2 linked regions of the Struthio camelus genome follow. The protein of the gene in region 1 interacts with the protein of each later gene in a pairwise test. Links are inferred from orthologs where the notes say so. Each region holds a gene or a part of one and is shown on either strand. Other genes may lie near its edges.

The links.
Region 2: the proteins of KIFBP (region 1) and DOK2 interact in a two-hybrid assay, tested with the Homo sapiens proteins (2 studies listed by BioGRID and IntAct). The two-hybrid records come from large-scale screens. The link is inferred for Struthio camelus from reciprocal best matches to the Homo sapiens genes KIFBP and DOK2.

The regions. Positions count from the first base shown.
Region 1 is NC_090948.1:39,034,427-39,041,665, forward strand, and holds the start of KIFBP (KIF-binding protein), read left to right. Parts: upstream 1-4,229; 5' UTR 4,230-4,292; coding exon 4,293-4,640; intron 4,641-7,007; coding exon 7,008-7,106; intron 7,107-7,239. Other genes in the region: nucleolar RNA helicase 2, read left to right, coding at 1,049-1,208, 2,024-2,158, 2,986-3,030, 3,585-3,779. UniProt on the Homo sapiens protein: Activator of KIF1B plus-end-directed microtubule motor activity. Required for organization of axonal microtubules, and axonal outgrowth and maintenance during peripheral and central nervous system development.
Region 2 is NC_090968.1:5,669,649-5,677,384, reverse strand, and holds the start of DOK2 (docking protein 2), read right to left. Parts: upstream 3,015-7,736; 5' UTR 2,999-3,014; intron 2,690-2,998; exon of another isoform or gene 2,603-2,689; 5' UTR 2,471-2,602; coding exon 2,408-2,470; intron 1,657-2,407; coding exon 1,360-1,656; intron 1,242-1,359; coding exon 1,139-1,241; intron 1-1,138. UniProt on the Homo sapiens protein: DOK proteins are enzymatically inert adaptor or scaffolding proteins. They provide a docking platform for the assembly of multimolecular signaling complexes. DOK2 may modulate the cellular proliferation induced by IL-4, as well as IL-2 and IL-3.

The sequences.
Region 1 (7,239 bases):
AAGTCAGTTGCTTCACATGTAGACACTGATCGGTTTTCTAAGGATAGTAACAATAAACCTGTGCATTCTTGAACCCTTTTCACAGAATATAACGTTCTCTAAGTTCTTGGTAAAAACGAACCTTCATTTACAACAGAAGAAATCTCACTATCAGTAGTAGGATAGGAAACTGCTGCCACGGGGAAACTGATCTCCTCCTCTCGGATGGTGCAGTAGCAGTGTTTGAAGAGCAATGCTTACTGTAATGAGGAGTTGTACTACGCTAGCAAGTGTTACAGCCTCATCCTCTGCTTTTTTTTCTGTATGGTTTTATTGTCAAGGGTGCTCTGCTGTTTTACTCCATGCAGCTCTATTTATGTTTGCTGCCTGATTGGTGGAAATGATGTTGACAGAAATCTTAAACTATAGTTATTGCAAGTTTGGCCAGTTTGAAGATGATCGTGGGCTTGGTGCTGGGTTCACCCCATGCTGTATGTAGAAGGGGAGCATGGGAGGCGATGATGTACCAAAGATAGCATCTGAGAGCTGCTGGAAAACAGAAAGCTATTCTCGGTTTTCCAGCTTGTTCTCATTCCCTCTTCCAGAAATAACCAATTTAATCAGCTTTTACTGAGAGCAAGAAATGTCTTACCTCAGCCTGTAGTGGCGCTGTAGTGATTTACTTCTCTTCCTCGTGAAGTAAAAAAGCAAGGGAGTCTCAGATCTGCTGGCAACTTTTTTTGTAGATCCTCGGGCCTGGCCTTAAAAATGCTGATATCTTAGATCCTTCCCTTGAATATTGTTATCAAAGCTCTCAAGTGTCTCGTGTGTGCTCAGTTTTGCACGCATCTTTGAGGCCTGGCTGAATGATGGAAAAAGCAGGTATTCCACCTCCTTGAAGGTGTTGAGTTAGATGAGTGGTAATTGAAGCATGAACATTGCAACCAAGGCTTTTAGAGGTAAATAGTACTGAAAGTTGTCTGAAATATTTGTGATGTCTTGAACGTGACTGCACTTCACACTGGTCTTTGGCACGCTGATCTCTCAAGCCTGTGTTATCAACGTTTAGGTTTTTGGATTCCGTTCCTCCTTCTGCAGTAGACTACTTCAGACAGTCAGCTCAAGAGCTGATAGAGGAAAAAGGGGCGATTGATGCGCTGGCTGCAGCTCTAGCTCATATTTCTGGGGCATCCTCCATCCAGCAGCGCTCCTTACTCAACTCAACTGCGGTAAATAACATTGCATCTGTGTTGACAAGAATGGCTGAGCGAATGGCTTGAGTCCAGTCTAAGTGTGTCATCTTGTTCTGGGGATTCCAAGTAGCTGTTATCTCCAACGTTCGGTTTGTGTCTGGTTCCTTAAGTGGAATCAGATCTTACTGGCATTCTGTAGGGAAACAGAGAAACTTGAAGTCAGTTGGTAAATTTTCTCATAATGAGCGTTAAAAGAATTGCTCCAGAGATGTAGGTGACAGAAGACTTTGCTCTAAGAGGCCTCAATTAATGAAATTTCACAAGCTCAGACTTTGGTTCTTGCTGTTGTTGCAGTTGCCTTCCCAGGAAGCACCTTTATTTCTGCCAATTTCAAGTAAGCCTAGCATGTGGTTATCTGACTTTAAAGACATCTTGATAGAGGAAAAATTACTACTTTTCCTTTTTCTGATGCCTTTGGAGAGAACCTGGCCCGGTTAATTGTGTGATCATGGTTTTGGAAACACTGTGGTGATTGGACTGTCCTTCCTCATATCGGTTTAATTTTACTTTTTTTCCAGCTGTTACTTTCTTAATGTACTGAGCTCTGCTTCTGGCTAAAACGCAGAAGTGCTACTGGCCTTTGTCCTGATGGGCATTCTTAGGTTAGATGGATACCTTCAGCTTCTTTGGAGGCTTTTAGTTGCCCCACTCCTGGGAAGCTGATTTCTTAGGATTAAGTACTGCATTGCAATTGTAAGTTATTACATCGTTCATAACAGTTAATGGGTGACAGACTGTCCAACCAAGTTTAGTCATCTTTTGTAAATGTGTTTCTCTGTTTGCTCCTGAAGGGCTTTGTGACCATGGTGTTGCAGTGCTCTATAGAGATGCGTACCATGAGCTACGCCTGGCGAGGACTAAAAGAACAGCTTGGTGAGGAAGTGGATGCTAAAGTATCTGCAATGCGTTTCCTCAAGGGGAAGATGGTAAGATGGCACAACCTTGGGGAAGGAGGGATGTGTCTCTATCCGTGTGTGTCTGTGTGTGTGTGTGTGTGTGTGTGTGTACACGGCCGCTTTCTGCAGTGACTGAGATGAGAGTTCTGAAGCAGCAGTGCGGAAACGTCTTGTCTCGCTCTATCCCTACTCCATCTCATTTCTCCTTCATGTAAAATGCTAACGTATCACACAAAATCCCTTTAACTGCTGTCTGTTTTTACGCTCTACAGAAATGTGTTAAAAGCTAGCTGAGTGTTAAAAGATATTTGCTTGAATGAAGACACTGCTCCCAAATGATGATACAGGAATTCTCTCCTAAAAGAGCACATCAGAATAATGTGTGGTAGAAATGGCTGTTGTGACCTTTATTCTTTCATTGTAAACTCACAGTAACACTACATACCGTTGCACTGAAAGAACGTCAGTAGAGGAGAGCCGCGACTGACAGCCCGAACCTGATCAGTGCAGTATTCGCTTCATTGTCAGCTTGGCTCTTGACATATCTGACAGCAGAGAACGTGTGCTGCTGGAGAAGCCTGCCTTACCTTTGAACAGGCGGGCCAACTGCAGGCGGTGCTGCTCTCAGCACCCATCATTTGGGTCTGCGTTTTGTCACGAGCTGCAGTTTTTTAACTGCTCTTTCTGCAGCTTATGAAAAGGTACCCCCGAAAGGGCATGCGTTCTGCTGCTTCTGGTTTCTATTCCCAGCCTTAATGAGCAGTGTTTCAGGTGCTGGCTGTCTGGAGTTTTGGTTTTGTGCCTCTGTTACTAGATACGTTTTTGGAAAACAAATGCTTATCTTTGTTTATGTATAGGGAGTGTGCTTCGATATCCCTTTTGATGAACTGAGTCGCATACAGGTACGTTTTTACGGTCAGAATCTGCTTTTGGAACGTCTGAGGGGTGATACGTTAGTCAAATACATGGTGATTATATTGTTACAGACTAGTTGGAGAAGATAAGGTTTGTGATTTTTCCAAGGAGACTGCATAGAAATGCCAGCAGAGTCATCACAGAATACATGCCCCACCGAGCTCTGTCCTTTTAGTTCTCTTCCTACTACCCCATTTTTCTTAAAGAACATCCGATGTTCTTTGGCCACTCTGGGTTTTGACCTTGCTAGTAGTGTATTTGAGAGCAGCGACAGCTAACCAGGTCTCTGTGGTCTTTACTCCCTCTTATCCCTTTGCTTGTCTGGCCTTGGTCATAGGACTGCAAACGGAGGTGGTTTTTTTTTTTTTTTTTTTTTTGAAGCTTAAGAGTGATGCTTGCCTCCCTTAGGGATCTGACCTATTTTGGCGAGGGTGGGATTTGTCTGGAAGTGCCTTTGTGCCTAACAACATAGGGTATCTCGGGCGCACCTGCACGTTTGCACCTGCCGGCTCGTAAGTCTATTATATTGCTCTTGTTTCAGGAACAGTGGCAGGACACCAGACGCTGGCAGCTGTCTGTAGCAAAGGAGTTGCCTGAGCTGGAAGAGCACCCGCATGAGGCAGGCCAAGGCTTCTCCAGGTTTGGAAGTGGCAGACAAGGTGACAACGGCTTCAGGAGGAACAACAGATTTAAGAACGGAAACCAGGGACAGAATTTTAACAGGTCATTTCATTAACGGCCGATGGAGCTATGGGACTGAGCTGCTTTTTATCCAAAAGTAAAAACCTATTGGACATTCGTCTTTGTCTTTATTCCTTGATTAAGCAGCCTTTCTTTGAGGATGGCTAGCAATCGCTCGTTTGCTGAAATGAGAGGAAAAGTAATTTTTTGAAAAGTGGATTTTTTTTTCTTTTTTACTGACACAATCGCTGCTGCCGTTTTTTCCTCCTCTTAAACCGCGTGGCAAGTACAGCTCGGGGTGAGCACAGCGCTGGAAACTTAGCGCTGCGGGAGGATAAACGCTGTAATGGCAACGAGCGGCCCTCGCGTGATGCGCCGGGGTAGCGGGGGGGGGGGGGGGGATGTCGCGCGGGGGGGGGGATGTCGCGCGGGGGGGGCGGGGCTCGGCTCGCCCCGCCCCGCCGCGCGGAGCCGCGCGCGGCGGGGGCGGAGCGCCGCCTCCGCGCCGCGGCGTGATTGGCCGGCGGGCGTCACGCGGCGGGGCGCGTGCGGCGGCGGGGGGAAGAAGATGGCGGCGGCGGGCGGCGGGTGGGCGGCGGTGTGCGAGAAGTTCCGCAGCGCGCGGACGCTGTCGGCCGTGGAGTCGCGCAAGGACCCGGAGACGGAGCCGTACCGCTCCAAGTACGCGGCGCGGGCGCTGCTCGAGGAGGTGAAGCAGCTGCTGAGCGCCGCCGAGGAGGGCGGCGAGGCGGGGCTGCGGGCCGTGCGGCGGGCCGTGCTGGAGTACGAGCTGGGCGCCAACCACAGCGACACGGAGGAGCTGTCGGCCGGCGAGGAGCACCTGCTGCGCTGCGCCCGCCTCCTCGAGCCGCACCGCCTCTCCCGCGGCTGCGTCTCCCTCTACATACAGGCCCAGGTGGGCCGGGGGGGCGGGGGGCTGTCTGGGGGGCTGGGAGGCCTGGGGGGTGCTGGGGTGATCTGAGGGGCCTGTGTGAGTGGGCGGTTGGGGGAGTGAGGTGGTCTGTGGGGGAAGGAGCTGGGGGGCCTGGGAGGGTCTGTGTGAATGGGGGGTTAGGGGGTGTGGGGGGGGCCTGTATGTGCAGGGAACTTGTAGGGGAGGACAGGGGGGTCCGGGGGGCTGGAGATGGTGTGCAGGCAGCTGTAGGGGGGTCGGGAGGGCAGGGGTGGGGTGGGCGAGCACAGGAGGGCCCCCTGGGCTGGGCGGGTTGAGGGGGGTATTTGCAGGGGACGGTGAGACAGAACCTCAGCGGTCCTGAGGCTGGACTGGGGGGAGATCTCAGCACGTCTGGAATTTATTTGTGGTTGTTGAGCTGTCATTTGCAGCCACAGCGTGTTGGGGGAGGGGGTTGCTTTTATTTATACCATATCCTGAAAAGGTGCGTTTGTTCTGAAAGGACCGACTTGTTTGCTTTTTCAGCATTGCCTGTTAGCTCACTATCTGTTACGTTTATTCCAGATGATTAAAGGTAGTTTTGTGTTGTTAGAAATAACATTCATCTTTCTATCCTGAAAAAAGTAACACTGTTACAGGATTATTACTTAACACATGAGGATTCCCAAAAGGGATGGGCCTTTAATCAATTCCTTCTTCATGGCAGCTGTGTTTTATATGTACATCTCCAGCTCTATTTAAGTCAGTCTGTTACTTAGATGTCTGTCAAAATTAGCCCACCTAATAAGAAAAGGCTAAGTATTCTTTCTTTGTCACCCGTTACAAAACTGTCAAGGAATTGTGTGTTTGTGTGGAGAGACTCCTTTTAGTTGAAAAATCATTTGTCTTATGCGGCTTAAACTGAATGAGCTGCCTGGAATTTGTAAGGTTTTATCTGCTCACTCTCTTTCAGAGTGGCAGTCCGGGTACTCTGCTACAAATCTGTTACTGGAAGAAAGCCATTTTATGTAAGATTCAAGATTAGTTAAGAAGCTAGTCAAAATAACACAATATCTTCCCAGTATTTGAAAGGGCAAGGACTCCACTGTGCTTTTCAGCTGATATGCTGGAAAGTGGTGCTTTTCTCCATTGGATGAGTGCTGCCATCTGCATGGATTTTCCAAACTTGACACCTTCTAGAAGCGGCAGGATGAAAAGTGCTGTGGTCCAACAGCAGAAAAATCTACTATCGTCTGGGACATAACACAAGACATGTGGCTGAGAACAATGATGATAAATTAGCGTGCTCTCAATGTTCCATCTCAAGGCCTATAATAGGTCGAGTCCTTAATTACAAAACTTCTGAATACTCCAAGCAGTAATCATCAACAGCGGTTGGTGTGATGACAGATTTCTCTCTCAGCACATCCTAGGTACTGTAGAGTATGTTGTCAGTGCGCTGACTTCTATTTTGAAAGAAGTAGCATTGTTTTTTCCTGCTTCTGCAGCCCTACTCCTGGTCTCTGTGCTGCACAATGATGTATGTGACAGCTCCTGTCTCATTGAGTTTAGTTAGTTCCACTGCTCAGCCATCGGCAAAGTATTGCCGTTTATAAACATGCTACATGGTGCTTTCTTTTTAAAATCATAAAATAAATGGAATTGGAAGGGAGGTGGCATTGGCCAAGCTACATGCTCTGGCTTTTTTGAAGCTTTTTTCTTTCTGTAGTCCTGTTGCGTTTTTTTTTTTTGGTTTTTTTGTTTTATTTTTTTAACAACTCTGTCTGGGAACTGAACTAGCACATGTGACTTGGATTGTTATTGACACCTTCATTTTATTAATAGTTAGAGGGGCTTTTTGTAAAAGGTGGGTTCACAGATGTATGACGTGTTACTGTGTGCATTTCTGTATTTTAAATTTGAAGGCGTTAGTCCTTAGCTTTTGCATTTAACAGTTTCATCTCCTTGTTGAAGAAATACAGGTGTTCTTCCTGGCTTATCTTTTCCTATTGATTTTTTTTGTTCATACAAAGTCACATTGACAATTTTCTATTTCCTTGACTCTTATGATTATGAGTTAAAAGTTGCATGAATCAGATGCAGAACTGTGTGGAAAAAGCTCCTTATTTGAACACACAGGTCCTAATTTAGCAGGGTAAACACAAAAGACCACTGTTTAAGTGAGATGACTTTTTTTTATGAATTTGCCTGTGTTTGAGAACCCTTCTCTTAAAGCAACATGAGATAAAATGCATGAGTCGAATTTTGCCTTTCTAACTCCATTGTATTAGAATGATGTATATCAGGATGAAGACTGATAAATTGTTTGGAGAAAACGTCTAAATGTAAATTGAGCGTAACAGGAAAAACTTTTTTTCTTTTTTTGTTTAGAACAGTCTGGGTATCCTGTGGTCTGAAAGGGATGAAATCAAAACTGCTCAAACATACTTGGAATCTGCAGAAGCCTTGTATAATCAATACATGAAAGAGGTACTGTATTGATTAGCGTTTTGGCAGGTCTTACTTTACACACAAATGGTACTCTTTGTTTTTTGTTTTACAGAAGTACGTAGCGACTGGAATTACCTAGCTTTCTCTGTTCAAGAGAACTCAATTGCTTGCC
Region 2 (7,736 bases), on another chromosome or scaffold:
CACATGCCTGCGCTGAGGGTGCACCCGCCTGCACTGAGGGTGCACCCGCCTGCATGCGAGGGTGCACCCGCCTGCATGCGAGGGTGCACCCGCCTGTGCTGAGGGTGCACTCGCCTGCGCTGAGGGTGCACATGCCTGCACTGAGGGTGCACTCGCCTGCGCTGAGGGTGCACTCGCCTGCGCTGAGGGTGCACATGCCTGCACTGAGGGTGCACCCGCCTGCACTGAGGGTGCACCCGCCTGCGCTGAGGGTGCACCCGCCTGTGCTGAGGGTGCACACGCCAGCACTGAGGGTGCACTCGCCTGCACGCGAGGGTGCACACGCCGGCGCTGGGGGTGCCCTCCAGCCACCTCCCCACGTGTGCAGGCGAGAGCGGCGTGGCCCAGCATGGACCCAGGCTTTAGCCGAGAGCTGCAGCAGCTCCCGCGCCGGGCTCCCGCGACTCGCCAGCTCGCTGTGGCGTCCCCGGAGGGCTGGCGACCTCGCCACCCCCCTCTCCCCGATGTGCCATCCACCCTCACGTCCTTTTTGCTGGGATCATCGTGTGCCCCAGCCCCGAGCCAGCCCCGAGCCCACCCCCCGGGCGATGCCGTGGTGCAATGGGGACCGTGACCCCCCCGGCGCTGCCCGGGCGGGGGGTGGCGGGGAAAGCAGTATCCGGCCGATAAGGGCTCAAAGGCGCTGGCCGCTCAGGAGTGGCCAGTTATCGCAACCAAGCTCTGCCCTGGCAAACCGCAGCGCAGGAAGAGCGCAAAGCAGCTATTTCTGAGACGGGCTTTCCATTGCGCCGCCTGCGAGTCGCTGTTGTGGTGGCCGTTTGCACAGGCAGGACGAGCCTGGCGGCGCTCGCGCTCGCGACGGGGGGGCAAGCAGAGCCCGGGCGCGCGATGCCCGGGGCACGACGTAAGGGCAGCCGGTTGGGAGCAGCGTGCCTCGGGGACGCGGCGGGGGGGCCTGGCCCGGGGGGGGGCTGCTGCTTCCTCGCTCCTCTGCCCTGTCCACCCGTGCCGCCGTCCAGCCAGCCGCCTCCGAAGCCCAGTCTCGCCCGGTCGCTGCACCGCGAGTCTAGCGCTGGGCGCAGCGCCGCCCGGCGGGGTACAGAGCCCCCCAGCTGCCCCGGCCCGCCGCGCTGCCCACCTTTGCCCCTGGAGCTGTAGAGGGAGTTCTCCTCCATGGAAAACTCGCCGTCCTTGGATTTCGGCGCGGCTTGTTGGCCATCCTTCCCCGCCGCCGCCTGCTCCTCCCAAGGAAAGAGCGGCGGCTGAGCCGCGGCGGCTGAGCCCGCGCGGCCCCGCTCACCCCCTGCCGCCTCGCCCCTCCGCCGCAGCCTCCCCGGCCCGCCTGGCGCCCCGGCTCACGGGAAAGGCCAGCTCGCAGAGCCTCCCGATCCAGCCGGCCGCCTCGGCCCCCTCGGCCGCCAGGAGGTAGCACTTGTCGGTGGTCTCCAGCAGGAAGGCGACGGTGTCCTTGGGGCCGCCGGCGTCGCCGGGCGCCTCCGCCACGTGCACGCAGTCGCTCAGCTTGACGATCCTCCTGCCGCTCTCGCTGCGCCGCGGCTTGTCGGCGGCGGGCGGCGCGGCGCCCTCGAACAGCTCCAGGCGGGCCGTGGAGCAGGAGCTTTCCCGGTACAAAATGCCCCAGAACTTCTTCCATTTCTGCCAGAGGGGAAGGAAGGGGATGGATCGGGAGCCCCCCTCGCCCGCCCGCCGGCGTTCGCCAGCTCCGCTTTTGCCTCCCCGGTGGAGCACCCCCGCCCCGCGCCGAACAGCAACGCGCACGCAGCTCCCCGGCCTGCCCGGCGCTGCGGGGCGCCCGGAGCCGCCCACCGCAGGGAGCAAGGACCCGTCCTGCGCCCCCCGCACCCCGCGCGCGGTGCCCTTGCAGAGCGAGACGCGTCCCGGCTGGCCGGGCGGCCGCCGGAGACGCCCAGGAAGCTCCTTCCCCTTCTTGCACAAGAGCGGCGGCCGCCGGCAGCCCTCGCTGCGCCCGGCTCTCACCGGCCGGCGGGGGCGGCGCAGGGGCTCGCGCCCCGGCCTCGGCTCGGCACCCCGCTGCGCCGCGGGCTGGAGCCTTTCGCCGCGCCGGGCGCATCCGGCGCCTCCGAGGCCCCAGCTCCTTCCCAGCGGCCCGGCGGGCGGGCGGCGAGCAGGAGGCTTCGCGCCGCCAAGGCTCCCGGCAGCGGCCGAGCCGGCGGCGATCGCCCGGCTCCTCCGGAGGCGCCCGCTGCCACGCGAAACCCGCCGTGCACCCAGCGCCCCCCGCGCGGGAAACGCCGGGCTCTGCCCCCAGCGCCCTCGTGCCCTCACCGGCCCTTTGCAAGACACCGAGGTCGGGGCGCGCAGGCAGCGGGGCGAGGGCCGGCCCCGGCCGTGCACGGAGCTGCGGCGGCCCCGGGCTCGTCCTTACCTTGCCGAAGGTCTGCTGCAGCTGCAGGTAGAGCGCGCCCTGCTTCACCGCCGCCTCGTCCATCTTGCAGCCGCGGGCATCCTCCGGCGCCCCCGCCGCTGCCCTGGCGCCCTCCTCGCCTCTCGGCCCCGCTCCTATTTTTTTTTTTTTCCTCTCTCTCGTTTCCTACACGCGTACGGGTTGCGCTCGAGCTTCCTGTATGTGCGATGTTACCAAAAAGGGCAGCCGCGGGCGCTGCTCGGAGGCGAGCGCGTGCGCGCACGTGCGGCGTGCCGGCCCGTCCCCGGGGGCCGCGGCGGGGCTGCGCTGGCCCGCACACGTGCGTGCGTGCGCCCGCTGCCGTTGCCGGTCCGCTGCTTTTCGCCCACCCGCACGGTGCAGGAGGGGCACCATCGTGGGCAAACCCTGTCCGTGCCTCAGTTTCCCTATCTGGGAAACGGGGCTGGAGGTGCCCCCGCTGGCGGCCAGCAGGGCCGTTGGGGAGCGGCGGCGAGGCCCTGCGCCCTCCCGCGGGCAGTCCGGATGCCTTGGAGGGCCGGGGCCGTGCGGGAGACCCAGGCCGCCCGCCACCCGGAAACGCGTTATTTATACCTCCGCTGCAGAGAGGACGGAAAGTGTTACGGGTCCCGCAGGAAGCAGATTTACCAGCTCATCGTTTTCTCTCCCGCGGCGCCAGCATCCCCCCCGCTCCTCCGGGGCAGCGGGGCGACCTGTGCATGGGGATGTCTGGAGCCGGAGGCCTTCCTCCTCCTCCTCCTCCTGCCCAGGCTTTGCATGCCTCTGGCAGCCCCCCAAGCCCCCTCCCCAAAGGCTGCCCCCCGTTAGGGAAGGGGTCGGCTAGTGGGGCTCGACCCCCTCGTCGCGGCGCGCCGCGGCTCTGCCCCGGCTCCCTTTCAAGTCCCCGCCGGCCCCGCACGGAGGGTATTCAGGCGGGGCGAGAGCCGCAGAGCTCTTGGAGGGAAGAAAGGCGGCGGGCCGGGGGGCTGCCCGCTCTCCGGACACCTTCCCCCGAAGAAAAGGCTCGGGAAGGGCGCGAGGCAGGCGGTGGCGGGGGCCGGCACTGCCGCCTTTCATGCCAGGAGCGCGTCTCCGAGCTCGGCTAATCAAAGCCTGCCGCCCCGGCACCGCCGCGGCTTCCCCGGCGGAGCCCGCGCGCCGGCGGCCTGCGGCCTCGGCCACCGCTGGGCTGTCGCTCGGCCCCGGGGCAGCGCCAGGACGGCGACGGGGACGGGGCAGCAGGACAGGCTGCGCCAGCTGCTTCGTGGGTCGGGCATGGAGATTCGGGGCAACATGCCAGCAGGACACACGGCCCTCGGGGCGGCAGGACACACGGCCCTCGGGGCAGCAGGACACACGGCCCTCGGGGCGGCAGGACACACGGCCCTCGGGGCAGCAGGACACACGGCCCTCGGTGCCAGCAGGACACACGGCCCTCGGGGCGCAGGACACATGGCCCTCGGGGCAGCAGGACACACGGCCCTCGGGGCGGCAGGACACACGGCCCTCGGGGCAGCAGGACACACGGCCCTCGGTGCCAGCAGGACACACGGCCCTCGGTGCGGCAGGACACACGGCCCTCGGGGCGCAGGACACATGGCCCTCGGTGCGGCAGGACACACGGCCCTCGGGGCAGCAGGACACATGGCCCTCGGTGCAGCAGGACACACGGCCCTCGGTGCCAGCAGGACACACGGCCCTCGGGGCGCAGGACACACGGCCCTCGGTGCCAGCAGGACACACGGCCCTCGGTGCCAGCAGGACACACGGCCCTCGGGGCGGCAGGACACACGGCCCTCGGGGCGGCAGGACACACGGCCCTCGGGGCGCAGGACACACGGCCCTCGGTGCCAGCAGGACACACGGCCCTCGGGGCAGCAGGACACACGGCCCTCGGTGCCAGCAGGACACACGGTCCTCGGTGCCAGCAGGACACACGGCCCTCGGGGCGCAGGACACACGGCCCTCGGGGCGGCAGGACACACGGCCCTCGGGGCAGCAGGACACACGGCCCTCGGGGCGCAGGACACACGGCCCTCGGTGCCAGCAGGACACACGGCCCTCGGTGCCAGCAGGACACACGGCCCTCGGGGCGGCAGGACACACGGCCCTCGGGGCGGCAGGACACACGGCCCTCGGGGCGCAGGACACACGGCCCTCGGTGCCAGCAGGACACACGGCCCTCGGGGCAGCAGGACACACGGCCCTCGGTGCCAGCAGGACACACGGTCCTCGGTGCAGCAGGACACACGGCCCTCGGGGCGCAGGACACACGGCCCTCGGGGCGGCAGGACACACGGCCCTCGGGGCAGCAGGACACACGGCCCTCGGGGCAGCAGGACACACGGCCCTCGGGGCGGCAGGACACACGGCCCTCGGGGCGCAGGACACATGGCCCTCGGGGCAGCAGGACACACGGCCCTCGGGGCGGCAGGACACACGGCCCTCGGGGCAGCAGGACACACGGCCCTCGGTGCCAGCAGGACACACGGCCCTCGGGGCGGCAGGACACACGGCCCTCGGGGCAGCAGGACACACGGCCCTCGGTGCCAGCAGGACACACGGCCCTCGGGGCAGCAGGACACACGGCCCTCGGTGCCAGCAGGACACACGGCCCTCGGGGCGGCAGGACACACGGCCCTCGGTGCCAGCAGGACACACGGCCCTCGGGGCAGCAGGACACACGGCCCTCGGGGTGCAGGACACACGGCCCTCGGTGCCAGCAGGACACACGGCCCTCGGGGCGGCAGGACACACGGCCCTCGGGGCAGCAGGACACACGGCCCTCGGTGCCAGCAGGACACACGGCCCTCGGGGCAGCAGGACACACGGCCCTCGGGGCGCAGGACACACGGCCCTCGGGGCGCAGGACACACGGCCCTCGGTGCCAGCAGGACACACGGCCCTCGGGGCAGCAGGACACACGGCCCTCGGTGCAGCAGGACACACGGCCCTCGGGGTGCAGGACACACGGCCCTCGGGGCAGCAGGACACACGGCCCTCGGGGTGCAGGACACACGGCCCTCGGGGCGCAGGACACACGGCCCTCGGTGCAGCAGGACACACGGCCCTCAGTGGGCAGGACACACGGCCCTCGGTGCAGCAGGACACACGGCCCTTGGTGGGCAGGACACACGGCCCTCGGGGCAGCAGGACACACGGCCCTCGGGGCAGCAGGACACACGGCCCTCGGTGGGCAGGACACACGGCCCTCGGGGCAGCAGGACACACGGCCCTCGGTGCGGCAGGACACACGGCCCTCGGTGCCAGCAGGACACACGGCCCTCGGGGCAGCAGGACACACGGCCCTCGGGGCGGCAGGACACACGGCCCTCGGTGGGCAGGACACACGGCCCTCGGTGCAGCAGGACACACGGCCCTCGGGGCAGCAGGACACACGGCCCTCGGTGCGGCAGGACACATGGCCCTCGGTGCCAGCAGGACACACGGCCCTCGGGGCAGCAGGACACACGGCCCTCGGTGCGGCAGGACACACGGCCCTCGGTGCCAGCAGGACACACGGCCCTCGGTGCAGCAGGACACACGGCCCTCGGGGCAGCAGGACACACGGCCCTCGGTGCGGCAGGACACACGGCCCTCGGGGCAGCAGGACACACGGCCCTCGGGGCGCAGGACACACGGCCCTCGGTGGGCAGGACACACGGCCCTCGGGGTGCAGGACACACGGCCCTCGGTGCCAGCAGGACACACGGCCCTCGGGGCGCAGGACACACGGCCCTCGGTGCGGCAGGACACACGGCCCTCGGGGCGCAGGACACACGGCCCTCGGGGCAGCAGGACACACGGCCCTCGGTGGGCAGGACACACGGCCCTCGGGGCAGCAGGACACACGGCCCTCGGTGCGGCAGGACACACGGCCCTCGGTGCCAGCAGGACACACGGCCCTCGGTGCAGCAGGACACACGGCCCTCGGGGCGGCAGGACACACGGCCCTCGGGGCAGCAGGACACACGGCCCTCGGTGCCAGCAGGACACACGGCCCTCGGTGCAGCAGGACACACGGCCCTCGGGGTGCAGGACACACGGCCCTCGGTGGGCAGGACACACGGCCCTCGGGGCGGCAGGACACACGGCCCTCGGTGTCAGCAGGACACACGGCCCTCGGTGCCAGCAGGACACACGGCCCTCGGGGCAGCAGGACACACGGCCCTCGGTGCAGCAGGACACACGGCCCTCGGTGCCAGCAGGACACACGGCCCTCGGGGCGGCAGGACACACGGCCCTCGGGGCGCAGGACACACGGCCCTCGGGGCGGCAGGACACACGGCCCTCGGTGCCAGCAGGACACACGGCCCTCGGTGGGCAGGACACACGGCCCTCGGTGCCAGCAGGACACACGGCCCTCGGTGGGCAGGACACACGGCCCTCGGGGTGCAGGACACACGGCCCTCGGGGCGGCAGGACACACGGCCCTCGGTGGGCAGGACACACGGCCCTCGGGGCAGCAGGACACACGGCCCTCGGTGCGGCAGGACACACGGCCCTCGGGGCAGCAGGACACACGGCCCTCGGTGCGGCAGGACACACGGCCCTCGGTGGGCAGGACACACGGCCCTCGGGGCGGCAGGACACACGGCCCTCGGGGCAGCCGGACACACGGCCCTCGGTGCGGCAGGACACACGGCCCTCGGGGCAGCAGGACACACGGCCCTCGGTGGGCAGGACACACGGCCCTCGGGGCAGCAGGACACACGGCCCTCGGTGCGGCAGGACACACGGCCCTCGGTGCAGCAGGACACACGGCCCTCGGGGCAGCAGGACACACGGCCCTCGGTGCGGCAGGACACACGGCCCTCGGGGCAGCAGGACACACGGCCCTCGGTGCCAGCAGGACACACGGCCCTCGGTGCAGCAGGACACACGGCCCTCGGGGTGCAGGACACACGGCCCTCGGGGCGGCAGGACACACGGCCCTCGGGGCAGCAGGACACACGGCCCTCGGTGCGGCAGGACACACGGCCCTCGGGGCGGCAGGACACACGGCCCTCGGTGCGGCAGGACACACGGCCCTCGGTGCCAGCAGGACACACGGCCCTCGGGGCAGCAGGACACACGGCCCTCGGGGTGCAGGACACACGGCCCTCGGGGCAGCAGGACACATGGCCCTCGGGGCGGCAGGACACACGGCCCTCGGTGGGCAGGACACACGGCCCTCGGGGTGCAGGACACACGGCCCTCGGGGCGGCAGGACACACGGCCCTCGGTGCCAGCAGGACACACGGCCCTCGGTGCGGCAGGACACACGGCCCTCGGGGCGCAGGACACACGGCCCTCGGGGCGGCAGGACACACGGCCCTCGGGGCGCAGGACA